Linked DNA regions of Drosophila melanogaster. Changing the gene in region 3 together with the main gene of any one other region gives a genetic interaction. Each region holds a gene or a part of one and is shown on either strand. Other genes may lie near its edges.

Evidence for each region.
Region 1: of w (region 3) and mor, changing one enhances a phenotype caused by changing the other (phenotypic enhancement), as found in Drosophila melanogaster (3 studies listed by BioGRID).
Region 2: of w (region 3) and pasha, changing one suppresses a phenotype caused by changing the other (phenotypic suppression), as found in Drosophila melanogaster (2 studies listed by BioGRID).
Region 4: of w (region 3) and B52, changing one enhances a phenotype caused by changing the other (phenotypic enhancement), as found in Drosophila melanogaster (2 studies listed by BioGRID).

The regions. Positions count from the first base shown.
Region 1 is NT_033777.3:15,967,611-15,974,534, reverse strand, and holds mor (moira), read left to right. Parts: upstream 1-1,621; 5' UTR 1,622-1,722; coding exon 1,723-1,839; intron 1,840-1,930; coding exon 1,931-2,056; intron 2,057-2,236; coding exon 2,237-3,161; intron 3,162-3,211; coding exon 3,212-3,542; intron 3,543-3,605; coding exon 3,606-4,380; intron 4,381-4,442; coding exon 4,443-4,653; intron 4,654-4,940; coding exon 4,941-5,960; intron 5,961-6,024; coding exon 6,025-6,149; 3' UTR 6,150-6,401; downstream 6,402-6,924. Other genes in the region: Rbf2 (Retinoblastoma-family protein 2), read right to left, coding at 6,578-6,924.
Region 2 is NT_033777.3:31,616,671-31,622,731, reverse strand, and holds pasha (partner of drosha), read right to left. Parts: upstream 4,305-6,061; 5' UTR 4,195-4,304; coding exon 3,963-4,194; intron 3,744-3,962; exon of another isoform or gene 3,721-3,743; coding exon of another isoform or gene 3,675-3,720; intron 3,492-3,674; coding exon 3,288-3,491; intron 3,223-3,287; coding exon 2,273-3,222; intron 2,217-2,272; coding exon 1,962-2,216; intron 1,903-1,961; coding exon 1,615-1,902; 3' UTR 1,373-1,614; exon of another isoform or gene 1,258-1,372; intron 813-1,257; 3' UTR 515-812; downstream 1-514. Other genes in the region: CG1792 (uncharacterized protein), read right to left, coding at 5,021-5,210, 5,273-5,383, 5,460-6,061.
Region 3 is NC_004354.4:2,790,457-2,798,277, reverse strand, and holds w (white), read left to right. Parts: upstream 1-1,811; 5' UTR 1,812-1,969; coding exon 1,970-2,041; intron 2,042-5,149; coding exon 5,150-5,423; intron 5,424-5,497; coding exon 5,498-6,152; intron 6,153-6,213; coding exon 6,214-6,529; intron 6,530-6,732; coding exon 6,733-6,864; intron 6,865-6,934; coding exon 6,935-7,549; 3' UTR 7,550-7,679; downstream 7,680-7,821. UniProt on the Drosophila melanogaster protein: ATP-dependent transporter of the ATP-binding cassette (ABC) family which transports various molecules including bioamines, neurotransmitters, metabolic intermediates and second messengers.
Region 4 is NT_033777.3:13,659,501-13,667,326, forward strand, and holds B52 (B52), read left to right. Parts: upstream 1-1,810; 5' UTR 1,811-1,942; exon of another isoform or gene 1,943-2,201; 5' UTR 2,202-2,233; coding exon 2,234-2,359; intron 2,360-2,660; coding exon 2,661-2,731; intron 2,732-2,796; coding exon 2,797-2,904; intron 2,905-3,454; coding exon 3,455-3,551; coding exon of another isoform or gene 3,552-3,608; exon of another isoform or gene 3,609-3,954; coding exon of another isoform or gene 3,955-3,975; exon of another isoform or gene 3,976-5,952; coding exon 5,953-6,026; intron 6,027-6,089; coding exon 6,090-6,401; intron 6,402-6,583; coding exon 6,584-6,748; intron 6,749-6,855; coding exon of another isoform or gene 6,856-6,892; exon of another isoform or gene 6,893-6,918; coding exon 6,919-7,033; 3' UTR 7,034-7,391; downstream 7,392-7,826. Other genes in the region: Hrb87F (heterogeneous nuclear ribonucleoprotein at 87F), read right to left, coding at 1-148, 840-887. UniProt on the Drosophila melanogaster protein: Essential for development. May have a critical role in splicing or in controlling alternative splice site use of at least some pre-mRNA in vivo. Not required for all splicing. May play a general role in the condensation or decondensation of chromatin.

The DNA.
Region 1 (6,924 bases), on a different chromosome or scaffold from region 3:
GTGCACAGTGAGAAATTCGCTGAAATGCTGTACTGAGATGATTGGTAGTGGTTCAAGGTACGGTAAGATGAGAATTTTTAAATTACTTTGAGATTTGTATACCAAAACATGACGCTCATTTACAATCCAATAATATTTCATGCATCAGAATCGAGTGAGGCTTAAATTTAAGAACTTTTTTCAATAGCTAATATTATGAAACCACATGCTTATTTCTTTCCGTGCACTAAACGTATCGTAATGTGGACGTGGACAGCGAACGCAGGGATTATTGTTAAATGCCACCCACTGAAATCGGAAAAAGAGCCCGATGAATGAACAAATGGACGACACAAATAGCGGCTGGCGAATTGGGCAATGTGTTGCGACTAAAAATACGCGCACTAGAACGGGCTGCCAAGATGAGAGAGACTAGAAGGCGAAGACAAAGAGCTAGTGGTAGACCAAGTTTTTGTAAAGGATTTCCGCTGTTTTGCTGCGTTGGCGCCCACCTCCTCTCTCTCTCCCTCTCTCTCGCTCGCTCTCCTCTCTTATCAATAAACAGAGCCCCTTGGCCCCACTCTATCTATCTCTATCGCACGCACACAAGCAAGCGGAAGCGATAAGTTGCTGCCATATAAATAATGTTGCAATCTAGGATAAGAATTTAGGGGTTCCTTATGTTCCTATTCGCATTCCCACTCCCGATCTCCGAGTGTTATATCACTTACCTTTGGCAATGGTTGCTCTCTCTCGCTCTCTTCCTCTTCGCTTCGCATTTGCTCTTCTCTCCGCACTACGCACTCCTCTTTCTAGTTCCCTTCGTTGTGCGGTAGCAGTCAGCTTATGTGGGGCGCCCACTCACAATTCAACTCATGCGCTCTGCATTTTCTAATTGAATTGTTTGCTCTCAAACTGTACAATCGATGCTGAGTTACTATAGCCGTACGTATGTGTGTGTTTTGGCCCAAGGAAAGGGGTACTGGGTACTGCTTTTCGCCAGCAGCGTCACAAATCAATCCAATCGCTTTTGCTTTCTTCCTACTCACTCGCACTCACGCACCATTGACTTTTTATTTTCACGCACACTGGCACACTCGCGACGGACACACGGATGGGAATCCGGCGTTGCGAATAACGGCAGAATTCGATTTACGGCAATTGTCGTTGGTGGGCGTAGGCAGTCAATGTTTTAACTTAACACTGGGCTTCACGCTGATGCAAACACACTCTGACAGCACAATATTTTTAAGTTTTCGGTTCCCAGCAGCCATGTTAGCGCGATGGAGTCGCATTTATATGTGCGGCCTGACTATCGTGGTGCATCGGTTTTTAGGCGGCGCGAGCGGGACGCCAATACAGCACCACCGCCACTGTGACCAGATGGCATTATTGAATTTAACAGCAATTTTCACATAATAGCTTGTTCCCACTGAGATGTAAAGCTAACTGACACGTTAGCTAGCTATAACTTTTTCGAAGTCTATATAATTCTCTTAACAGCCAATATGTTTTCTTGTTATTTAATATATGGCTTCCACCAACCAATAGGTTTATATATTAACCTAACCTAAGATTAAAATAATGATAACTTTCAGTGGAGATAGCTGAAATATCGATAACGACTGTCACAACAACATCGATTTAAATACCATCTCTATTTTATCAACGCAGCGTTTATTGGCTTTTTGGCGTGGAAAAGTGAAAAGATAATTGACAAAAAGTCCACAAAAGTGCCGCAACATGAACACACTGGGTCCTAAGAAGGACGGAAGTCCGAATATAGACTTTTTCCAGTCGCCGGAGACGCTGCAGGGCTTTGAATCGATTCGCCAGTGGCTGCAGAAGAACTGCAAGAAGGTGCGTGCCAACAACAACGCCGCCGCAAACAAAAATGGCGCTGTCAGGCGGCGAAAAAAAAACGATTTACTCACAACCGTATTTATTGCAGTATTTGGCCCACAGTTCGGAGCCCATCACGAAGGAGTCCTTGGCCCAATTGCTCATTCACTTCCTGCAGTATGTGGAAGCCAAGCTGGGCAAGAACTCAGCGGATCCGCCGGCAACCAGAATTCCGGTTAGTATTGATAGTGCCTGTGGTTGGTGAGGGGGACAGGGTGCCCCGTGTTGCGTGTGTACACGTAAATATTAATCCTCCAATGGCCAAATGTTTGGACCACTAGCTTATATTTTGTATTTAGCTACATGATTTACGTACATTAAAACATATCTCTAATAATCGTACCACCCACACCAGATGCGTTGCTTTCTGGACTTCAAGAGCGGCGGTGGTCTGTGCATCATTTTCTCGACCATGTTCCGTTTCCGGGCCGAGCAACGCGGCAAGAAGTTCGACTTCTCCATTGGCAAGAATCCCACGCGCAAGGATCCCAACATCCAGCTGCTGATCGAGATTGAGCAGGCGTTGGTCGAGGCGGACTTGTATCGCATACCGTACATCTATATTCGGCCGGAGATTGAAAAGGGCTTCGAGGGAAAACTGCGCGAGATCCTGGACAATCGACGGGTAGAGATTGTGTCGGACGAGGAGGACGCCACCCATATCGTCTATCCTGTGGTGGACCCACATCCCGACGAGTATGCGCGGCCCATTTTCAAGCGCGGCGGACATGTGATGCTGCATTGGTACTACTTCCCCGAGTCCTACGATTCTTGGGCTGTGAATAACTTTGACCTGCCCGATCACATTCCGGAGAATCCCGAGTCACCGGCGGAACGTTGGCGTGTGTCTGCATCCTGGATCGTGGACCTGGAGCAGTACAATGAGTGGATGGCCGAGGAGGACTACGAGGTTGACGAACAGGGCAAGAAGAAGACGCACAAACAGCGTATGTCCATAGACGACATCATGTCATTCGGCGACGAGAAGAAGAAGCCTGCTGCCAGCTCGGGCGGAGGCAAGCAGAAGAGACGCCGTTCACCATCTCCCGCCAGTTCGGCATCCACCTCAAAGCCGGGCAAGCGTAAGCGTTCTCCCGCCGTGGTGCACAAAAAGTCGCGCAACGACGATGATGACGAGGACTTAACTCGCGATCTGGATGATCCGCCGGCCGAGCCCAATGTTCAGGAGGTTCATAAGGCAAATGCCGCCTTGCAGTCCACCGCCAGTCCAGCTCCGGGCGGTAAATCTCGTGGCGACAACGACATGATGCCCATTAAAGGTAAGTTTTGTTATCTTATATCTGCATTGACTAAACAAACTGATATCTAGGTGGCACTATGACCGATCTGGATGACGAAATGACTGGAGGAAGCGCCGCTCAAGCCATGTCTACCGGAGATGGGGAAAACTCGCAGACAGGCAAGACAAGTGATAACAGCAACACGCAGGAATTCTCTTCATCGGCCAAAGAGGATATGGAGGACAATGTGACCGAGCAGACGCACCACATTATCGTGCCTTCGTACTCGGCTTGGTTTGATTACAACTCCATTCATGTGATCGAGAAACGGGCCATGCCGGAATTCTTTAACAGCAAGAATAAGTCAAAGACACCAGAAATCTATATGGCCTACAGGAATTTTATGATTGATACGTACAGGTAAGTTGAAGCTCCATTTTTTTTGCAGCAAATAGTTTTGAATATGTTACTCATCTATTTCAGGCTCAATCCGACGGAGTATTTGACCAGCACAGCTTGTAGGCGTAATCTTGCCGGAGATGTGTGCGCCATAATGCGAGTACACGCCTTCTTGGAGCAATGGGGCCTGATTAACTACCAGATCGATGCGGATGTCCGCCCCACCCCTATGGGTCCACCACCAACCTCACACTTTCACATTCTTTCGGATACGCCATCAGGTCTACAGTCCATAAATCCGCAAAAGACGCAACAGCCGTCGGCGGCAAAGACGCTGTTGGATCTGGACAAAAAGCCATTGGGTAAAGATGGCGGCCTGGAGTTGGGCGATAAAAGTGGTCTGACTGGCATCAAGACAGAGGCTCTAGAGAATGGCGCTGCCGGAGGATTAAGTTCCGGAGTGAGCCAGTTTGGACTCAAGCTGGATCAGTACGCAAAGAAGCCGGCGGCCATGAGGAATCGAACGGCGGCAAGCATGGCTCGTGAATGGACCGATCAGGAGACTCTGCTGTTGCTTGAGGGCTTGGAAATGCACAAGGACGACTGGAACAAGGTCTGCGAGCACGTTGGATCTCGCACTCAAGACGAGTGCATTCTGCATTTCCTTCGACTTCCCATCGAGGACCCGTATCTAGAGGATGATGGTGGCTTCCTGGGCCCCTTGGCCTGCCAACCCATTCCGTTCAGCAAGAGTGGCAATCCCATTATGTCCACCGTCGCATTCCTGGCATCTGTGGTCGATCCTCGCGTTGCCGCTGCAGCAGCAAAGGCTGCCATGGAGGAATTTGCAGCCATTAAGGTAGTTACATTTTAGTCACGTTTAAACCATGATTTTAACATCCAATGTAAAACTTATGCTAGGATGAGGTGCCCGCTACAATAATGGACAACCACCTGAAAAACGTGGAGAAGGCTTCGGCAGGTGGTAAATTTAATCCGAACTTTGGGCTGGCCAATAGTGGAATCGCAGGAACCGGAAACGACAAGGACGATGAAGAGGGCAAGGAGGGTGGCGCATCTGCATCCGCTGGCGGCTCTGATGAGGAAATGAAGGACCTAAGCAAAAAAGACGGTAAGCCAAAGCCATTAGAGATCGGTAAAGGGGGTTTATGGATGTTGGTTAAGGGAAAAGTCGCTAAGTCGAGCGAGTTTTCTTTTAATCGATTTTAAAGGGAATTTACTCAATTGTTGGTTCTGCATTTGTTTGTCTTGTTGAACTCTTGTGTTGCTTTCATTCAAAATTCGCAATTTGTTCACCATTTGGCACTGTATTCGTATATTGTTTCGTTTTTGTGTTGCGCCCAATCTACCAAACTTACATCAACACCACAACCATCAAATAACAAACAACAACCACAGACGATGCCAAGTCCAAAGACAATACAAAATCGGATAAGACCAACACAAACACAGACTCGAGTTCCACATCATCATCAGCGACAGGCAACACCAACAACACTGACAAGAAACCAAAGGAGTCGTCCGGCTCCTCGCCTTCGGGCGATAAGTCAGCCATCAAGTCAGACAAATCAAACAAATCCTCACCCACAGAAACCGCAGCAGCCGCAAGTGGTGGCGAAGTGGACATCAAGACGGAGGACAGCAGTGGCGATGGCGAAACTAAGGACGGCACTGAGGCCAAAGAGGGAACGGGAACCGGAACAGGGCCATTGGCGGTGCCAAAGGAAGGAACATTTAGCGAAAATAACATGCAGACTGCGGCGGCGGCAGCTTTGGCATCGGCAGCAGTTAAAGCCAAACACCTGGCTGCCCTGGAGGAGCGTAAGATCAAATCCCTGGTGGCTCTCCTTGTTGAGACTCAGATGAAGAAGCTGGAGATCAAATTGCGCCACTTTGAGGAACTGGAGGCCACCATGGAGCGAGAGCGCGAGGGATTGGAGTACCAGCGTCAGCAGCTGATCACAGAGCGTCAGCAATTCCACCTGGAGCAGCTAAAGGCAGCCGAGTTCCGAGCGCGCCAACAAGCACATCATCGTCTTCAGCAAGAGCTCCAAGGCCAGGCGGCCGCGGGATCAATGATCTTGCCGCAGCAACAGCAGCTACCACAGGCCCAGCAGCCGCAGCAGCAACAGCAAACGCTGCCACCTCATCCGCACCTGGCGCAGCAGCAACAGCTGCCTCCGCATCCGCACCAGTTGCCGCCGCAGTCCCAACCGCTAGCGGGTCCCACCGCCCAGCACCAGCCGTTGCCCCCGCACGTAGTGTCGTCGCCCAACGGTGCTCCCTTTGCAGCGCCACCGATTTCGCTCACGGGAGGACTCCCGCCGGGCGCACCCACGGCCATTGTCACGAATCCGAGCGACCAAACCGGACCAGTCGCAGCGGGAGCAGCGCAATCTCAAGCACCTACACCCATGGGTAAGAACTTTAACGGATAACAATTCATAAACTATAATACTTAGACATCCAACTCCCGCCATAGATACTACACCACCAAGCAGCGGTCCAGTGTCAGATGCCAACGCACCGCCGGGATCGGCAATGCCACCAGGGGGAATTCCTCCGGCGAACACTGCTCCCATCGCCGGCGTAGCTCCCTCTTCTTAACTCTTACTCATAAGCCAGGAAACGTTAAAGTAAATAGCTCTAAGTCGTACGCTCTCAGTATGTATTATGTATACTCCACTTTAAGCCCAACTCTTGTGTGTAATCTGAAGGAGATGCACTACACATTGACGCGTCTCCAGTTTTGTGTAAGTTTCATTTCGTGTCCGGTCGCGTTTACAAGCAATTGCACAAATATTTTGAACCAAGTTTCAAAGCCGAAAAATAGGCATTCAATAAAAATTTATTTAAACTACGAGTGGCAGTTATTCCTTTATTTTTACAAAAGCAAAAGCTTTTAACTTACTTGAACAAGTTAATAAAATATCTATAATTTAAACATTATTTAATTACCATTTTTGAGTTTAAGAAATATACTAAGCTAGCTGCGTAAAATGCAGCCAAGTATTTAAGCCTTTTTTGATTGGTTATTAGATCACTGAAAGCTGGCGACGCCGCAGGATGTTTGGTCGCTTGATCTCTCTCATCAAGTCGTTACTCGAAGCAGCACGCTTTACGTTGGGCGAGCTTTGCAAGGAAAGTGGTGATGCGGCGGGAGATGAAGGTGGATGACTGGAGCAGGAGCCACTTTGGCATACCCTGGGAGGGGGCGGTGAAGATATGCTGATGTTGGCTCTCATGCTCAATTCGTTGGAAGTTGTTTCCGTCAGAATACCAACGTTACTCTGTGATTCTTCCAGTGACTTGCGTGTTTGCGCACACTCCAGGTGGCGGCCATAGTTGCCCATACTTTGGACATACACACTGTTGTAGAAAG
Region 2 (6,061 bases), on a different chromosome or scaffold from region 3:
GCGGCTGCTGCTTACCGATTCACTGGCTCTGACGGAAATTCCAATGGAATTTGGCATAATTTACATATCTCCGAGTGCTTGGGCCAAGCGGGCCAAATGCATTGGACACGGTGTACAGGAGTGCGTGTGTGTACCCGATTTTCCGTTTATTTTCCGAGTGCTCCGTCTTTCACCGAATATCCGCACTTTTTTCCCAGGCCCGATTTCTGGGCCGCTGGGCGAAAAATCAAAAACGGCGCGCGTGTCGTACCGCTTGCTACATCCACTGATTTGACGCGCGACCCACGCACTTGCAACACGCGACACACGAGCACCGGGAATCGAACGTCGAGAGTCGAGAATCGAGGAACTGGGGGGCTATGAAGTTGGTTTTTTTGGGGGCACCGAGGGATGAGGGGGCAACTAAGATGAATGTCAATAAAAATGATTCTGCTCTGCACTGCAGTTGGCCTTTTTTCAGCTGTACCACCGAATTCACCTCTTGGCTTTCTGTTTTTCTCCCCGTTTTTTTTTTCGGTCTGTCCCGAGTTACTGTGATTCAATTACAAATCCCAGACGAAAGTCCTGAGGATAGGAGCGCCGGGAAGTGGTTTTCTCGCCACGCGAAGAATCCGTACTGAAGATACAGATATGGCCTGCGAATTGGCAAGTCAGAACTCGCCACAATTCATCTCGCAGCATGGCTGCTGCGCAAAATCCGGGATCTGCGCCTGCGCCGCTCTCCCGCGCTCTCTCTCTCGGACTTTCTCTCTGCGACTGTCTCTCCGCATTCTCCGTGGTGGGTATGTGTGTGTGCCACGCTCGTTGGAATGCTATAAAAAAGGAAACGTTAGAATGAAATGAAAATGTAGCATAATTTATGACTGCATCGTCTTTTAAATAATTGCACGCACACACACCTACGAACCTACACCCTGCCCACCGCCTTAAATATTAACATCCACTCACCTAACGACCGACCGCCTAAAAACACCCGAGAATCCTAATGGCCATGTAAATATGCATTTTTTTATATTCCATACGACTTTTTAAAATGTCTTCCAAATTGGTTACGGGTCAATGGTGTTTGAACGTTCCAAGAATGAAAGCGATACGAGAAGATTTACGAGGAAATTTGATAAACAAATCATGAGCAAATAATTGTCCTGCTGTCTGCCCAAATGAATAGTTGTCAAATACTTAAGAACTCTACTTTTTTAATTGGTATTGCAGATAAAGATCTTAGACGAACATCTCTATACTCAAATATAAAGGACTGCGTTTTTAATAGTATTTTATTCAAGCTTATATTATACAAGTGAAATTGAACCCCTAATCTTAGCTATTGCAAGCATGAACTACTTATATTTGGCAAATTTAGTGATGAATTTACCTTAATGTAAAACCACTTGATAGGCAATTGTTCTTCATTTTTGGCCACTTGCTAAAGCCACTTCAGATTAACCAGCTCAGATAGATGAAGCCGATTTGAAATCAGTTCGTATGCCTCTAGAGAACGCGTCGTTGTTGTCATTAGCTTTTCGAATATGGAAATGGGTGGGTAACTAAGAGACTAGGAGGTTGTCATGCACTACTAGAGAATCAATGTTGGCGAGAGAGATGTGTGTTTCCCAATCAAAGTTCCACGTTGTTCAAATTGGACCCGGAGGAAGTGGGCAGATCGACGTCGCTTGGCGGCACAAAAGTGCCCATGGTTAGGACGCTCTCCTGCTTGGCACACAGTTTCAACATCTCGGATTTAAGTTTGTCCAGTATGGCGTAGTTGGGTTGGTTGACTGCCGCCTTGCTCTGCAGCACGGTGATCTCCTGCTCCTCCAGCTTCTTCTCCTTGAAGGTCTTTATGGAGTTGTTGCCGTAGAGGCGCAACAAGGAACCCCAGGTCTGGATGTGCGGATGCAAAATCTGACGAAAGGTTAACTCAATAGCTATAAGTAAAGTTATAAAGAAATATCAATGCTCACCTGGAGGATTGCTTGCGAAGCCAACTGCTTGCCCTCCCGCTTGTTTTTACACACCACTTTGGCAGTATGTTTGCCCACGGTCATGGTAAACTCGTTCTTGTTATTCGCGGTGCGGTTGATCTCCTGGCTGATCTGAACATCGCTGCCGTAGTTGCGCTGCAAGCAAGTCAGCAGAATGGCGTTGGGAGATGGCTCCGTCGTCTTGTTGCAGAATTCGGTGACTCGGGGATCTTCGATGCGGATGTCATCGAAAACCTGCAAGAAATATAAAAATAAGAAGTGGTTCCATTTTCTATAGGTAGATTGCTTACAGACAGATCGCTCTGCGCTTTCTTCGCAGTGCCGCTCTTTTGGTCCTTATTGTTGCCCGTTATCTTGTCCTTGACATCGGGAATGAGTATTTCCAGCGTTTCCCGAGCCGCCTCTGACTTGGCCTGCTTTTTACTGGTGCCATAGCCCGTGCCATACTTGAGATTGTTCACCGATACGGTGGCGGAGTAAGGCGTGGCTGCGTTTTGGAGCTCCTTGAACTCATAGGTGGGCTGCGTTTTCAGAGCATGCTGCACGTACTCGTGCAGGATGCAGACGAAGCTCTTGCCATTGGGATTCATGATCCACTCCTTCCGACCGCGCGGGTTCGTTGATCCTTCGCCAGCATTCGCTAGTATTGGGAACTTAATAAGCTTAGTGCCATCCGGCAGCGTGGGTCGTTGAATATTCTTGATGTGTTTGCGGTTTTTGGTGAACTTGCGGCGAGCATTCCAACTCCGAAATCGCAGCACACGAATCACCTTGAATTTGAAGAGTTTCTGGCAGTAGGTGTTTAGTTGCTCCGGTGTAATGGATTCCTTTTGGGTATTCTCGTTGACCGTAACAATTTTAGCAGCCGGCATAAGGGCAGTTATTCCATCTGGTTGGGTTTTGGAATCGGTGCTGCCTTCGTTGTTCTCTTTTCCCTCCACGTCCATGGCTTCGGCCGGTAAAGCGGAAGCTCCGGCCATGGGACATACAGCCACTGGCGGCGCTCCATCCGTCTTTTGTTGCTCCACCTCCGACTCTTCCTCCAAAGCCCGCCTGTAGTTAAGACAGGGGATTGCTCCCAAGGGCACTGCATGCTTGCGGGCACTTCCAGTGCCGAGAAAATAGGGCCTCGATGCGCAACAGACGCGAGTTTTGCGATGCAAGAAGAGCGGCATTCCACTGTTGTGGGTCACCTGCACCCATCCCTCGGGTAGGACTTCAAAGTGGTTGAGGCGCTTTTCTAAAAGAGTAGTCACATTAAAATACTCGTCATCTTGGACACTTGGTTCGACGAAAAGCACTGACCTTCCAGCACAGTCTTGAAACGCTGCTCGTATTTGGGCTGCTTTGACTCGCGGAGCTCTTCGGGCAGCTTCTCGTCCAGCAGATTCTCGATCTCGTCATCATCGAATTCCGAGGAATCGTATTCTTCGCCGTCACCATCAGCCGCCTCTTCCTCCTCGTCGCCTCCTTCTCCATACCTTCCGCCCTGCTGCTCGCTAGCGTTGTCTGGTTGCCATGTAAGGAGATACAATCACGGATAAATAAGTTGTCTGTTTGTCTGGGAAATGGAAAACCAGCCGCGAAGTTGATGGCCATCTTCACGGAATATTTGAATGAATGCCATTGGCACCTAATTGTCTAGCTCTTTGATGTTTAATTAAAGTGATCCTTCATTATTACTGGCTCTACCTGACGCAACTGGACAAGCCAGTCGGATAATGGGTATCATGCGCATGGAACTGTCCGCACAAAACTGCCACCACCTGCCTTACAATAAGATAAAGGAAAACTGAAGCTGCTATATCAGGGTTTAACCTGCCGGCTGACTCTTTTATCAGCCTCCTGTATTTGCACAATGATAGGCCCCCAAGATCTTGAGATAAGAACTGCGCCTGCACTGTGAAACAAAAGGTGGTAATTGCACAGCCTGTGATCTGGATGACCTGAGTGAATATCCGAGCTTCGTTTCCGACTCACCTGACTCATCATCCTCATCGCTGCCAGAGCCGACTTCGTCGAGAACCTGGAACTGTCGCAGTTGCTGGTCCATGGGTTCGTTCTGCAGCTCGTTGTCCCTGGTCCGCCGCATTTCCTCGATGGCGCTCAGCGAAAAGCCGGCCACCTTGAGCTCCTGCTCCTCGTCCTCCAGCCGGGGACGCTTGCGGACCTGCCCAGAGTCCGGGCAGTCGGCCAGCGGCTTCTCCGCCATTGTATTGGATGTGTGTGTCTAAAGCGGGAGGGGTTTAGTGCGGACTGATCGGAACTGTCTAGTAATGCTGTCCCGGGGCCAATCTCGCCAATAACCAATACTGAGAGCATCCAACGCCTTGCAATTGATTTCTCATTGGAAGTGCCACATTGGTTAAGCCAGAAGCCCCGCCGGAAAATTCTGCGACTGCACTTTCGCGGATTGTAAACGATGCTACTTGCTGCGTCTTTCGCTATGGATTCTGCCTAATTGTCGGACAAAATCCCAAAGCAAAAGCTGCGCAATTCAAGTACGAAATCGAGATTTTAGAGAGAGGATGTTAGTTGGGAAAAATAACCAAACAAGCGAAACAAACACCACATGCAGTTTTGCGGAAACAGATTGACACTTTTGAATTGGGGTTAGTGATGGTTCCAGGTATTATCCTCCGGAGAAGAACGTTTGGTCTTAGGATCTATTGTAACAGCAGCTCCAAGCACTTTTCTACTGATTTTGCAAGAAATTTTGCAATTTAAAGACGCCCCCTAATTTATTTAGTGCAAGACAGTGTGACCAGGCTCATGACATTTTAAAATGCTGGCTACTCCCCAAGCCGGTAAACAATGTTCGAATTTAGATTTTATTATATTTTAAAACATAAAAATAATGTAACTAAAAATTAGTGCGCAGCCTAAGTAAGGTAATCTCTATTGGCCATTTTGAAAAAATCAGTTTTTATTCAACACAGCCATATTTGAACATATTCCATTTTCGATTAATATTAAGTGCATTGAGTATTAATCCGAATATCAGATCGGGGATCCATTGATTTTTAGTACAGTTTATCCTAAGATCCACTTTTTCCTAGTAAAGCCTCATCCTTAGCCCCTGTCTGCATGCCGTTACTGGCCTTCACGTCCAGTTCCACAGGATTGTCCAGTGCCGCCTGGGCGCTTGAAGTGTGGGCGTGACCTTTTGAGCGATAGTGGGAGGTCAGGTGGGAGCGGCGAACGAAGGAGACTTGGCAGGAGTCGCAGCTGAAAAACAGATAAACAGAGTCAAGGATCCTCAATAAAACTTCAGGTAACTAAGATCTTACTGGAACGCTCGCACTCCGGTGTGACTCAGCATGTGCGTGCGGAGTTTTCCGCTCATGGCAAAGCTTTTATTGCATTCCTTGCACGTGAAGGGCTTGACATTCGTGTGGCGCCTGATGAAATGGAAAGTGGTCAGAAATATGTGAAAAGCATTAGACGTTTCATGAATGGGAACGAGTTCTGTCGTACATGCGTTCGTGCTGGATGCGTCCGCTGGCGTTGCTGTAGGTTGCCTCGCAGTAGCGACACTGAAACAAAGCATTCCCCGCATGCAGTTCTTGGTGGCGCCGCAGAAGCGTAGCAGTGTAGAACTGCTGGGAGCACTGGTCACAGGCAAAGCTCTTTACGCCGGTGTGTCGGAGGAGGTGCAACTTGAAGTTGCTGGGGCAGGTGAAGTGCCGGCCACACTGCTCGCATATGCAATCCCGCTTGCGTCGCTCCCGCTTTAGGGCCACCACTTCGTCCTCGGTGAGTCTGCTCCACTGGGTGCGCGTGGCCTGGCTATTGTCCGCAAACTTAACGGAGGTAAAGACTGTGGGCGTGGTCTTTGTACTTCTGCGGAGCTTCTTCTCCTGCGCAGGAACCTTCACTTGGGGCTGCTCGTTCTGCTCACATATTTCGTACGGCTCTTCCGTCTCTTCCAGCAGGTGTTCCTCGGGTAGAAGGTCTATAACCTCGATCTCGGTGACCTCTTCAGCGTACTGAATCTCCTTCTCCACACCAACTGCGAAGGATTCGATCAATTCCGCGTTCCCCAGGTTGGGACTTTCCTGCAGCGTTTTTTGGGTTCG
Region 3 (7,821 bases):
GGGACTTACCTTTGCCGATATATATATATATATATATATATATACATATGTATGTAGGTGTGACTGTGCGGAGAGAGTATAAAAGTGTGTGTTGAAAAAAACTTTCTACGCCTCAGTTCAAGTTACTTCCTTTTCGCTTTTCAATACGGTGTTATTGCATTGCATTGTGGAATAGCAAACCAATTTAAAGAATCCCAAAGGTAGGGCAAAAAAAAATGTTCAATTGCAGGGCTAATAAGCAAAAATCAAGTTAAGGCCACTCTAAAAAAAATGAACTGCATACTTATACGTATGCAATTAACTTTATTATTGATTTAGAGCGCATAAAAACGGCAAACTAATTAATTACAGCATTCCCTTAGAGCATTTCATAATCGGTTTTAAGCACTTTTTGTTGTAATGCCATTTTTCAGCTCTTTCGCTGCTGCGACAGGCGAGTGACAATAAATTGTTAAGTGCAAAAAGTTTACAGCATTTGAGTGAGTTAGTAATGGCAAACACACACGAACACGAACTTCAAGACGGTCTAAACCCGATTCGAGCTCCACTCAACCAACATCGAAGAAGCCCCATAAGTGTCACTGAGCGAAAAACTCGGTTAGTTGGCAAAAATGAGTGAAACATTGACGTTTCTTTGTTGTCTGTCGCTAGATCGGCCCACAAAGGAAGTCTCTTACGAATCGTACATACATCTAACTTTGAGTCAGCTAAAGATCTTCAGTGAAATAGGAAAATCATTTATTTCGAACTTTGAAGCTGTTGTAGAGCAGAACATATATGCATTAAAACTGGCACATGAAATAATGTTACTAGTGCTGAGTGAGACTTCTACAAATATCACATGCATATGCATAATTAACTTGCAAATCGAATCAAAAGCTATTATTCTGAGCTAAACTCTCAAAAGAAAACCATATTCATTTGAAGACCACTTAATCGTCGTCAGCAAATTAATTCCTGCAGATTCCTCGGCAACTGCAACTGCTAACCTGTTACCACATCGTCCGTGAAAATGGTATTGATAGCCTCCCGGAAAACCCGTCCCAGTCGAGATCCATATCCTGGACCAACTGGCCCCGATGATGAAGATTGATAATGCCCGGACAGCTGATGGCGGCAGTTCATGATTCCGGGGCCTGAGATGAGGTGCTAACGATGACGACAACGACCGGAGTGTCCGAAGTACGGGTGCGGATAGGCGTACGGGAAACGGGGAGTGCGGAATGCGCATCATCAACAGTCGCCGTTTGATAAATCATGCATGCAAAGTACAGTGCAAACCCCCGAAACGGGACGACAACAGGCGGATTAACAAGAACTCTCTTATTCACGATAAGAAGACGCTTCCCACTCAACCTAATCAGTATTCAAAGACAGCCACTCAGCTTATGAGTACTGCCCAGGTGGGGTACTATCATATTGGTGCAAAGGTGGTCGAATTTTTAATTATTTTGAACGGAACACATTAGCTAAACATAAACATGTTGTCACTAGTATGTATGTAAGTTAATAAAACCCATTTTTGCGGAAAGTAGATAAAAAAAACATTTTTTTTTTTTACTGCACTGGATATCATTGAACTTATCTGATCAGTTTTAAATTTACTTCGATCCAAGGGTATTTGATGTACCAGGTTCTTTCGATTACCTCTCACTCAAAATGACATTCCACTCAAAGTCAGCGCTGTTTGCCTCCTTCTCTGTCCACAGAAATATCGCCGTCTCTTTCGCCGCTGCGTCCGCTATCTCTTTCGCCACCGTTTGTAGCGTTACGTAGCGTCAATGTCCGCCTTCAGTTGCATTTTGTCAGCGGTTTCGTGACGAAGCTCCAAGCGGTTTACGCCATCAATTAAACACAAAGTGCTGTGCCAAAACTCCTCTCGCTTCTTATTTTTGTTTGTTTTTTGAGTGATTGGGGTGGTGATTGGTTTTGGGTGGGTAAGCAGGGGAAAGTGTGAAAAATCCCGGCAATGGGCCAAGAGGATCAGGAGCTATTAATTCGCGGAGGCAGCAAACACCCATCTGCCGAGCATCTGAACAATGTGAGTAGTACATGTGCATACATCTTAAGTTCACTTGATCTATAGGAACTGCGATTGCAACATCAAATTGTCTGCGGCGTGAGAACTGCGACCCACAAAAATCCCAAACCGCAATTGCACAAACAAATAGTGACACGAAACAGATTATTCTGGTAGCTGTTCTCGCTATATAAGACAATTTTTGAGATCATATCATGATCAAGACATCTAAAGGCATTCATTTTCGACTATATTCTTTTTTACAAAAAATATAACAACCAGATATTTTAAGCTTACCATGAAGTCCTCATTTCTTCCACCTTTCATTCTCAAATATTTTCTTGCTACACTACACTACACTACACTACATTATACATCGACCCCAAATAGTTGGATGTAGTAGATCGTAATTAGGGACGCATAACCAGTGGTGGCGTGGGAGGAGTCGGCTTAAGTTGGCCAACAACATTGCTGGGTGTCTATAACTCTAGGCTTGCCAAGATACTAGATACTGTATCCGTATCCATTTCTGGTTGTGTACTCGCATCTTCTACCTGATCTTAATACCTCGTTGTTTGCACGTCTCGCTCGACGAAAAATGTACAATCTAGTCTTATCTGGGTCATTATTTGGCTAGACGAATGCTTTGGGCTCAGCATCTGATATCTAGGTATCTTCGTGCGTATCTTGCTTTAAATTCTTAGCACCTCGGCTTGTATAACAAAATAAATAAGTGAGTACGATTTGCATATCTAGCCCCGGGCTCTTTGAAACAATTTTGAAAAGTCTCAAAAAGTTATACAAGGAGATAAGAACTTTAATTCTTTTGGGAAGTAAGTAACGCAGTAAAGGTAACAAAGTATTGAAAAATATGATATGTATGGAATATTTGAAGCCATCTTTAATTATATGTTCGTTGCATATATGTACATATTGGGCCGTTTACGCTCTGATATTTCCTTAATAATATCGAGTGGTCGTCAGCTTTTCCGCTGAATAATTGCGCCTCCTTCAGTATTTCGTTCTCATCAAAGTGAATGACTTTTGAGTGCACTCATTAGCCACTCGCACAATCGACAAAACGGGAGGAACAACAAATTGAGTCGCTTCTTTATTCAGTCATTTCAATTTGTCAAGTTCATCACGATACTCCTTCGCCTCCCTGCACAGCGCCATCTAGCGCCCACTCCTCGAGTTTCCTTCGTATTTCGTAAGTAATTCAAAAATAGCACGCAAAGTAAATAAAAAAAAAAGTAAGCCAAAAAATTAAATAAATATGAAATGTAGCATCTTTCGCTACTTATTTCAACAAAATACGAAAATAGGGAAAAGGTGGGAGAGTAAACCAGAGGAGGCAGGGAGATAAGAAAACCCAGTGGGAAAGGGACGGCGAAAACAGAAAAGAAAAGAAAACTTTTTAATAACATTTTTCGGCCTCATTTGTTGTGAAAACAATTTCGCCATGTCCCTCTATCTCTTTCCCAGCCATATGGCCATCTCGCTCTGCTCGAGGAGTGCCTGAAAACGGATATTACATTTTTTCGCGTCTACCTCTCGTAACGTCACCAATTGTGCTTTTTTTTTGGTAACAGGCCAAAAACTGGACACTGAGTGGCTAGAAGAATAAGCTGTCAAAGCATCGCAGCAGAAGATGAGCAGTGAAGCCTCGCTAAGGAGGAAATGCAACAGTTTTCAGGCTTTGGTCTTTTAGCTAGATTTTATATGTAGCAATGTAAACGATAAATCCAAATCCCCCAATCGTTTTGAAAAATAAATTTAATTTTAAATAGTTCAAAAAATGAAAGTTCTTAGCAGGGCTCACTGTAGCAAGGACCGCCAGGCGCTGAGTGCAAGGTGGACATTATTTTTTCTTGCTTTTATTGAATGTCAGCTTTTTATTTGGCCCTCTTCTTCGGATTTTGCCTTTCTCATTTGCTTGCATTTTTTTGCTTAATTTTTTTTATGATTATTTATACAAATTATTATGAGAGCAGCGGCGGATAAAATGCTTTCCATATTGTGGCCATCATTTTGTCTTGTTTTTTCCATTTTTTTTTTTTTTTGCCTCGACGCCAATTAGTGGATCCCTGTTATTTATGCTTTGCCGCAGGCCGCTGCGATGGCAAGAAACCCCACAAATGGAAAACGGAAAATTGTTTATGAAAATGAAAATATGCGCGAACGGAAGTGGTATGGGGCGAAAAGTTGGGGCGGGGAGGATGGCTTGATTTGACCATACCGCAAACGTCTTCGGTTACCGCCATTTCGAAAAGGGAAGCCCCACCTGGGCGAAAACTGACAGCTCAGTGGTTTTGGAAATCACTTTACCCGTAAACAAAATAACGTAAATAAGAATTTGTATTTCGGATTTATAAACTTAAACTCAATTGCAGAAGTAGTAGTTTGAACACTATTGCGTTCAACATAATTGGATCAAGTAAATGGACTGCTTTATACTGCTCATTGCACTTATCTACAAGAGATTGAGTTTTCCCACCACCCAAAAAAAGCCAAAGTATCCTTAAAGTTTTATATTTAATAAAAACAAAACTGGCGAAGCTCAAAGTCCCCAAACGAAAGCCAAAGATGCCAGCGATTTACACTCGCAATTGTCTTATGAGGTGGCAACATGGTGGAGGAACCTTGCCACTGCCACCACCCATCGTCCCATCGCCCCATCGTCCATCGCCCAACGACCTGTGACCCCGTCAACCGTCCACCGCCCACTTTCAAGGCCATCCACCAAGTGCCAGCCCTAATTTGCACATTTTAAATAGGCCTCGCCATCTCCTTTTTGGGAAACTTGGAAAACTCGGATCTTGGGCATTTTTATTAAACAGATGGGCTCCTTCTTTATAAAGCCGAGGGGGGGGGGGGGGGTTAGTGCCCGGAAACAGGGACGGCGGAGCAGGGATTGGCCAGGCTGGGCTAGATTTATGCACAGACGCCTTCATTTTTATGGACGAACGCCGTGAAATTGAAAAGTTTTCAGCTTGAAACCTTTTCTAGATGCACAAAAAATAAATAAAAGTATAAACCTACTTCGTAGGATACTTCGGGGTACTTTTTGTTCGGGGTTAGATGAGCATAACGCTTGTAGTTGATATTTGAGATCCCCTATCATTGCAGGGTGACAGCGGAGCGGCTTCGCAGAGCTGCATTAACCAGGGCTTCGGGCAGGCCAAAAACTACGGCACGCTCCGGCCACCCAGTCCGCCGGAGGACTCCGGTTCAGGGAGCGGCCAACTAGCCGAGAACCTCACCTATGCCTGGCACAATATGGACATCTTTGGGGCGGTCAATCAGCCGGGCTCCGGATGGCGGCAGCTGGTCAACCGGACACGCGGACTATTCTGCAACGAGCGACACATACCGGCGCCCAGGAAACATTTGCTCAAGAACGGTGAGTTTCTATTCGCAGTCGGCTGATCTGTGTGAAATCTTAATAAAGGGTCCAATTACCAATTTGAAACTCAGTTTGCGGCGTGGCCTATCCGGGCGAACTTTTGGCCGTGATGGGCAGTTCCGGTGCCGGAAAGACGACCCTGCTGAATGCCCTTGCCTTTCGATCGCCGCAGGGCATCCAAGTATCGCCATCCGGGATGCGACTGCTCAATGGCCAACCTGTGGACGCCAAGGAGATGCAGGCCAGGTGCGCCTATGTCCAGCAGGATGACCTCTTTATCGGCTCCCTAACGGCCAGGGAACACCTGATTTTCCAAGCCATGGTGCGGATGCCACGACATCTGACCTATCGGCAGCGAGTGGCCCGCGTGGATCAGGTGATCCAGGAGCTTTCGCTCAGCAAATGTCAGCACACGATCATCGGTGTGCCCGGCAGGGTGAAAGGTCTGTCCGGCGGAGAAAGGAAGCGTCTGGCATTCGCCTCCGAGGCTCTAACCGATCCGCCGCTTCTGATCTGCGATGAGCCCACCTCCGGACTGGACTCCTTTACCGCCCACAGCGTCGTCCAGGTGCTGAAGAAGCTGTCGCAGAAGGGCAAGACCGTCATCCTGACCATTCATCAGCCGTCTTCCGAGCTGTTTGAGCTCTTTGACAAGATCCTTCTGATGGCCGAGGGCAGGGTAGCTTTCTTGGGCACTCCCAGCGAAGCCGTCGACTTCTTTTCCTAGTGAGTTCGATGTGTTTATTAAGGGTATCTAGTATTACATAACATCTCAACTCCTATCCAGCGTGGGTGCCCAGTGTCCTACCAACTACAATCCGGCGGACTTTTACGTACAGGTGTTGGCCGTTGTGCCCGGACGGGAGATCGAGTCCCGTGATCGGATCGCCAAGATATGCGACAATTTTGCCATTAGCAAAGTAGCCCGGGATATGGAGCAGTTGTTGGCCACCAAAAATCTGGAGAAGCCACTGGAGCAGCCGGAGAATGGGTACACCTACAAGGCCACCTGGTTCATGCAGTTCCGGGCGGTCCTGTGGCGATCCTGGCTGTCGGTGCTCAAGGAACCACTCCTCGTAAAAGTGCGACTTATTCAGACAACGGTGAGTGGTTCCAGTGGAAACAAATGATATAACGCTTACAATTCTTGGAAACAAATTCGCTAGATTTTAGATAGAATTGCCTGATTCCACACCCTTCTTAGTTTTTTTCAATGAGATGTATAGTTTATAGTTTTGCAGAAGATAAATAAATTTCATTTAACTCGCGAATATTAATGAGATGCGAGTAACATTTTAATTTGCAGATGGTTGCCATCTTGATTGGCCTCATCTTTTTGGGCCAACAACTCACGCAAGTGGGTGTGATGAATATCAACGGAGCCATCTTCCTCTTCCTGACCAACATGACCTTTCAAAACGTCTTTGCCACGATAAATGTAAGTCATGTTTAGAATACATTTGCATTTCAATAATTTACTAACTTTCTAATGAATCGATTCGATTTAGGTGTTCACCTCAGAGCTGCCAGTTTTTATGAGGGAGGCCCGAAGTCGACTTTATCGCTGTGACACATACTTTCTGGGCAAAACGATTGCCGAATTGCCGCTTTTTCTCACAGTGCCACTGGTCTTCACGGCGATTGCCTATCCGATGATCGGACTGCGGGCCGGAGTGCTGCACTTCTTCAACTGCCTGGCGCTGGTCACTCTGGTGGCCAATGTGTCAACGTCCTTCGGATATCTAATATCCTGCGCCAGCTCCTCGACCTCGATGGCGCTGTCTGTGGGTCCGCCGGTTATCATACCATTCCTGCTCTTTGGCGGCTTCTTCTTGAACTCGGGCTCGGTGCCAGTATACCTCAAATGGTTGTCGTACCTCTCATGGTTCCGTTACGCCAACGAGGGTCTGCTGATTAACCAATGGGCGGACGTGGAGCCGGGCGAAATTAGCTGCACATCGTCGAACACCACGTGCCCCAGTTCGGGCAAGGTCATCCTGGAGACGCTTAACTTCTCCGCCGCCGATCTGCCGCTGGACTACGTGGGTCTGGCCATTCTCATCGTGAGCTTCCGGGTGCTCGCATATCTGGCTCTAAGACTTCGGGCCCGACGCAAGGAGTAGCCGACATATATCCGAAATAACTGCTTGTTTTTTTTTTTACCATTATTACCATCGTGTTTACTGTTTATTGCCCCCTCAAAAAGCTAATGTAATTATATTTGTGCCAATAAAAACAAGATATGACCTATAGAATACAAGTATTTCCCCTTCGAACATCCCCACAAGTAGACTTTGGATTTGTCTTCTAACCAAAAGACTTACACACCTGCATACCTTACATCAAAAACTCGTTTATCGCTACATAAAACACCGGGATATATTTTTTATATACA
Region 4 (7,826 bases), on a different chromosome or scaffold from region 3:
CGCGAGAGCGCTTCGTCTTGGGATCCTTCATCACCACCACGTCGACAATGTTGCCCCACTTCTCGAAGTGAGCCTTCAGGCCATCATCTGTGGTGCGGTAGTCCAGTCCGCCGATGAACAGTTTGCGCAGCTGCTCTGGCTCGGTGATCTGCGGGTGAATTTCAAATGCATTAGCTAAAGACGTTCTATAATTTAAATAATTTCTAAAAACAAAAAAAAAACCCATTGATTCGAAAATAAGTTGTAATATTAAATTAAATTAATTGATTTCTTTGGACAAACTTTGCGAAAAATGTATAAATTTATATAATAAAAAAAAAAATCATACTGTATCTAAATGAATAAATGTATAAAAAATATTTAAATGTATAATAAGTTGCTGTAAATTTAATAAAAAAATAAGTTGCTGTCAATAAGTCAATAAGTTTATGTCAATAAAACGATAAAAGTGCAAAATCATCCTTGATCAACAAGGATTTGCCATTGTTTATAATAGTAATTTACCTGGCGAGAAAAAGCCGCTCGCCATATTTTTTTTTTTTTTTTTTAGTATTTGCACCGCCATGACAGCCCGTATATGTGTATGTATGTATGAATTTTCGTTTTCTTTTTTATCAAACAGCCGGCAACTTTTTTATCGGAAATTGCTTATATTTCTCGCCAAAAGAGGTCGATAAACTTTTAGCTGGCTAAATTCGCACAGGGATCGATGGCCCCCATAATTCGGTAAAAAAGCGGCGTGAATGTATATTATACACGAATATTGTCGGCGTCGACATTTTGCACTTTCACGCGCGATGAACGATTTACAAACAGCAATTGGTCATTCTGCAACTCACCTCTTCACCATCGTCGTAGTTTCCGTTGGAATCGTTTTGTTCCGCCATTCTCTCCTTGGTTGTTCAAGAAGATGGAAAGTTTAAACACCGAACGCAGGAAATATTTTTTTTGTTTTTGTTCTTTTTTGACGGCAGACTGGCAATAAATGAAATGTACAGCACGCACAATGAGAATGGAGTGAGCAGTATGACCAGGTGTCGAGAACGGGGTAAAGTCGGAAAATCGGACGCCACGTGGAATCGGAACGATTGTTTCGGTGCGTTAGGGGTGTTCCTCGACAATTAAGCTGATGCCACACTTGATTTTATATATCTTCATATAAATTTGTATTCGTCTAGTAAGGGCTTAAAAATATTAGACAAGTTTATTGTATATATTTCTGAACAAACGGATTTGAATGTATTATCTTTATAAATGGATTATGATAATTACTACCACGATAACCCAAGAAACATTTAATATGTTTAACTTTTTAGCTAAATATGTATTATTATTAATACCGCTTACATAACTCTTTCTGCGAGCATTCGCTTTAGCTGGGGCGATGGAAGGCTTCACTTTAAGAGATAACTTGTAAATTATTTTGTATTGAATTGTATATTTGTAAGTAGCCAGCTAAGGGTCAATCAATATTACAATTACGGGATCTATGAGGCATTTGGGAATAAAAAAAGACATCGTGCGAAATAAATTAATAAATCCAGAAACATTTTATGTATATCATCAAATCAGAAACGTTAAAAAATGCTAATGAGTGCTTGCTAGCAGATATCAAAATAAAAAGGTTGTTAACAGTATATTCAAATGCTACTACTAAGTATATTTAATGTTTATTCTTTTCATAGCGGAACACGAACAGCAACTGGAATACCCTTAACGCAGCGAAACGCATTGCCCGCCCAAAATATCGATAGGCGAAAAAGTATCGTTCCATTCCGCCTTTGGAATGACTGTCAAACATCGCTTTCGTCTGTCACTTTCACTTCCGTTTGTGTCGAGTCGCTTGCGTTTTTTCGTGTGGGAAAGCCTGAAAAAGAGAGAGTACGGCAGCGACTTAATTGTAAATTTGCCACAAATATCCTTCACTGAACGGTACGTGCTAGTGAGTACGCTTAAGTGAAGAACAGCGCGTATTTCGCGTTGTTAAATTAACTCGTTTTTGCAGCGGTTCTGTACACCCGGTACATTGCGAGCGTGTGTGTGTGTATGTGGTGGCCGCCATCTTGGCGAAACATACACGGCGCGTACATATGTGCGTTTTTTTTTTCTTCCATTCCTAAAGGACAGTCGAGCAAAATAGAAGCTGCAAACTGCAACGGTTCCCTTGCTGATATATATATATATACTTCACTATTTTATAGCACCTGCTCCAGATACGTAAGGAACCGTTATCATGGTGGGATCTCGAGTGTATGTGGGCGGTCTGCCCTACGGAGTGCGCGAGCGCGATTTGGAGCGCTTTTTCAAAGGCTACGGCCGCACACGCGACATCCTCATCAAAAATGGCTACGGCTTTGTGGTGAGTACAAAATATCATATTTAACTGGAATATGTAAAAAAAAAAAATCGGTTAAATTTGATTTGAAGACATTTCTGCATTTCTCTGTTTGTCTATAGGTTTCCTAACATTTCAAGCCGACCCTTGAATACTTTTTTTTTCTTTTTGAACCTATATTTGTTCCATCATTTGTCTGTCAAATACAGTGACGCTTAAAAACTGTTCTTAAATTCACCCAGCGTATTTCCATAAGAGTATGCACAGGCAGGGTAGCTTCAATACTAATTCCATAATCAATACTAATCACTAATTGAATTTTCAGGAATTCGAAGACTATCGTGATGCCGACGATGCCGTCTATGAACTGAATGGCAAAGAGCTGCTTGGCGAACGGTGAGTTGTTAGATATAAGCCAAAGTACGAAATGACTCACGATTGTATGTTCTATATTTTTGCAGTGTGGTTGTTGAACCCGCCAGGGGTACCGCTCGTGGCAGCAACCGCGACCGCTACGACGATCGATATGGTGGTCGGCGGGGGGGCGGGGGCGGTCGTTACAACGAAAAGTAAGTAGTACTGCCAGCGGACCTTAAAACCGGACCAAAGTAGCGACGATATCGTCCTCCAACTTTGTTTGCGTTGAAGTTTGCCCTAGAATTAGCACTGCCAATTTGTTTCGTTTGATATCTCCATCCACACAGATGCAACCAGCTTAGATCGTGCAAAATCTATATACCTATAATATTAGCTACTTGCGATATATATAAAAAACATCAGTTTATTATATATTGACTTCTATAGTTTTATACACTTTTGGTAGTGCAATCGTATAAGCTGATTTCTTCTGCGTGGAAGGGAACCAAAAGACACTGACTTGCTGTTAATATTATCATTTCCAAGACGCTCCGTTTTCCTATGCATACTATTGTTGCTTTTATTTGCACGTTCCACCCATCCGCATAGTATGTAAAATGTTTGATTTGTTGCGCATAACCCAAATGTAAATATGCATATGCTGGAATATATTCACCATTACCGTTAATTTTTGTGATGGAGCATCAGGAGCAGCAGCGCAGTGTCAATACTAATTAGCGAATCCATTCAATTATTCACCAGAAACAAAAATTCCAGATCATCCTCTCGTTATGGCCCACCGTTGCGCACTGAGTACCGACTGATTGTGGAGAATTTGTCTAGCCGCGTTAGCTGGCAGGTAAGTGAGCATGGATCGATGTATCGCGCCTTGGGCGTGGTATATACTGTAGCTTAGATTCGAGGAGTGTAGTACTAGAATTAAAACGGCTAACCGACTGAAATGGATCACTATTACAAACACCCATTAATCAACTTACCCATCCCAGAACCAACCTTTTCGAGCCCCTTTTTGATTTCGAATTACTTTCCGGTGTCTTCGTCCTGTTTTGTGTTTTAACTCCTCCTCCACTCTGACTAGAGCCAATTCTATAATCTGTAATCTAGCCCTAAGCTGTACAGTTGACCTAGACTTAAGTGAAACACGAAAACAAAAGATATTGCTAAAACCCTGGTACTGATCGGTGTAATCTACCCACCATTACTTTCTCTTGCACACACCAACCGAAACCGATAATAAAAAGAGTTTGATGTGCTTTGACTGAGAGATTCCCTCCTCGGCTTGGGGCCGAATCTAAAACTGAAAGAGAATCAAATCTAATTGAATCGCTGTGAGAAAGACAAGCTAGTCTAGTGACCGACCGACCGGTTCAGAATGTTACCCAAAAACCAAGATGCGGTGGAAGACAGAGTGAGACAGTACCCAGAGCCGCCCCAGATTGGTTTCGATATGCGAACTACGATCTGCAACCTACGACCGACCTCCACGAAGCGCCATCGCCGCCGCCTCATCCATTCGTCGTCTATTCCAAATAAAACATAATATAGAACACATAACGAAATGAACAAGTCGATCAGAATCGAACCCAAAACTGAATGCAAAATCGAAATCAGAAAGCAGACGATGACGATGGACGTTGATGAGCTGCCCGGGTCAAAAGGCCAGCCCACGTATTAAAGCCCACACTGATTGAAAAGACGTGGGCTGGCCTCTTGCGTTAGGTATTTAACTCTCTGCTAAAAACATTCACAATTTTAATTACCAACAATATTATATAAAGAATTGTCAAATTCCTTATAGCCATTGTGAGTGTGATGAGGGTGCGAATCGAATCAATCGAGTGTGGTTAGATGAGAAGCTTGCGTTCGCTAATTCTAAGATGATGTGATGGTCTTGGCGACGATGAGGGATGAGCATATGACGATGATCGATCGATGACGATGACACGATGCTGCGATGCTGGTCGCGCGTTCAGTTACCAACTTCGGCTAGTGCCTCCGAACTTATTCCTTCCCCCCATTCCCGGTTCTTCTGGCTTCCGGCTGCGGCTCTGGCTTATGGCTGCGGCTCCGGCAAACGGCATACGGCTACCTGCCCCGTCTCCGGCTGAGACTACCGACTAGACAACCACCAACCCAACCCGTTGGAGAAGCGAGAGCAGCGTCCCGAAACGTATTTCTTATTTTTGCAGTTCGTTTGTGCGTGAGGTGCCGATGCCGCTGGTTGTTGTCCGCCTCTGACCGGCAAACTGCTCCAAATGCTCCATTCTCTGGCTCTCTGGTGCGGTGGTTCTGGCCAGCGATGTCTGCTCTGATCTGATCTGACCTCCTCCTGACTGTATCCGGTGTGTGGCTTCCTCCGAAACGAAACGAAAACAGCTACCGCAACACTTGAATACCTTTTTGCCATTTATAATATGATTCTGTTGTACATGAAAAACATAACAAAACTGTGTACTTGGTGGTACGTACGTGGCCAAATGAAAACGAATACCAAATCCAAACAAACAAAACGTAACGAGCTCTGGCCATCCATCCGCTCATCCGCCTGCCTGGCCACTGGTTCTCTTCTGGCTGACTGGTTGAGTTAACGATGTTCGATCGGACTTTCGATGAGGTCATGAGGTGTCCTTGGTGTCATTGGCCCACAGTTACTAGGCAGACAATCTAAACTCTCGGTGTAGAAACGATGTGTGTGTCCTCCTCTCTCTGAAAGCGCATTAAGTAAGAATTCAATTACAACTATTTTGTTAACTTTAATTTATTTCCAAACCAAATCAACTCAATCTATATATATATATATATATCTACTATCAATTGCCAACCACTGTTAACTATGATTGTTTACGCTTAAGTTTTGTGCCGCGTGCAGCGTGGAGTGTTTGAATGTTGTGTTCGGTACGTTCTGGGCACCTCCTCCTTCTTTTTTCCTGGCCAAGCGAAATCCTTCGTCCGGAGTGAGGTTCTCGGTTTCCACACGTAGGCAGGCGCGACAAGAGCACAGGATAGACGAACACAGGGCACTGAGTGAGAGAGAGAGAGGGACTTGTGAGAGGCTGGGACTTGGTTAGGAGCCCCAAATAATACCGAAAACATTCAAAATGCTCCATCTGCTGCACGGGCTGTCCTTTGAGTTGCAACCACTGCCGTCGGATGTGCGATGTCGAAATGTGCGAGACATCTGCCAAAGCTGAAACTTACTAATTACTATCTTTTCGTTCCGACTTTGTGCGTCCCTGCAGGATCTCAAGGATTACATGCGCCAGGCTGGCGAGGTCACCTATGCCGATGCCCACAAGCAGCGTCGCAATGAGGGGTATGTTTGAAAATGGTTGAAATTATTTTACATACAACCAACTACAATTGTGTTCCTTTGCAGCGTGGTTGAGTTCGCCTCGTTGTCGGACATGAAGACGGCCATTGAGAAGTTGGATGACACCGAGCTAAACGGCAGGCGGATCCACTTGGTCGAGGATCGTCGCGGAGGACGCAGCGGTGGTGGCGGCGGCAGCGGACGTGGACGCTCCCGTTCGTCCAGCTCCCGATCGCGCTCCCGATCCCGCAGGCGTTCTCGCTCTCGCCGCTCGTCGCACTCGCGCTCCAAGTCTCGCAGCCGCTCCAAATCTCGTGGCGGACGCTCCAAGTCCAAGTCGCCAGTCAAGTCTCGTTCTCGCTCCCGCTCGCGATCCAAGTAAGTAGAGAGAGAATAAAGTCTGGTAGGGATCGTACTTAATCACAAATTCTTTGTGATATATGCTTTAATATTAATATTATATAGATTTTACACGATAGAAAATATTAATTACGATCCTCCCTGGCTTTTTACTTCATATGATTGCCCACTAATTAATTACTTCACTACTTCCGCTGCAGCAAATCGCGTGACGTGTCCAAGTCCAAGTCAAAGTCCCACTCCCGCACCCGCTCCCGTTCGCCCAAACGTGAGCGTGACTCCCGTTCCCGATCGCGGTCCGTCTCGAAGCGCGAGTCCCGTTCCCGCTCACGTTCCAAGTCCATCCACCGCGACTCCCGTTCACGGTAAGTTTGGCCACAGTGCGATGACCATGGCTCCATATTATTATAGACCGTTCACGATTCTTTCTTTCGTGCTTTCTTTGGTTTTGTTTGGATGCACCTGTTTGTAGCCCGCCAACGGTGGTCGTTCAAAAGCTCGTTCTATAGTTCACTACAATGCCTTTCTTTTGCAGCGATCGATCCGCATCGGCTGAAAACAAGTCGCGTTCGCGCTCACGCTCCCGTTCGGCCTCGCCCAAAAATGGAAACGCCTCACCGGACCGCAATAACGAGAGCATGGACGATTAGATTAGTTAGCTGTCCCATTAATATTAAAACACTTGATTTTAGACTTCTACTATAACTATTCTACAAACATCAACACTCAGACACCCCGACTACAACCAAAACTTAATGAATATGAAATCATACCAATCCACCACTGTCGGGCCTCGTCATTTTCTTTTAAATATATAACGACAATTTGTCCTAAGTCTTGTTGTGGACATGGGACATTGGCTGGAAGATGACAGGGATCGGCTGAATGTGCCGATTTGGATTCAAGGAGTACATATAGGCCACGAAATTACTGCGACTTGTACACCGGAACACTTAAAATTGTCTATACAATGAGTAATTTCAATAAATACGGATAAATTTAAACTATAAATGTTTGCTCGCTGGTTTCACTTCAAAAAGGATATAAAGTACTTCGACGATTTTAATCATATAAAGTTAGTTTATTGTTTTTCTTTTTTGTTGTCGTAATTTCGGAATATAAGTATATTACAAAGTCTTAGTTTCACTATTTCGCATTATTTGCCTGAATTAAAATTACAATTTCATTTGATTTTATTTATCTTGAATTTGAAGAACGCCAATGATAATTTTGACACCTCATTGGCTGAAATATATCCTAGTTAAATATTTAAAATTTGAAAATGAATTAGCAATCTAAAATCAAATGCATAACTAAGTTTTATAAACTGACAAAGTTTTGGTTCTAACAATATATATCGTTTGTGTTTTGCTTTTAAAGTAATTACTTGTACGAATTAAGTACACTATTATATACAAAGCACATAGGGATAAAAGAGATTTT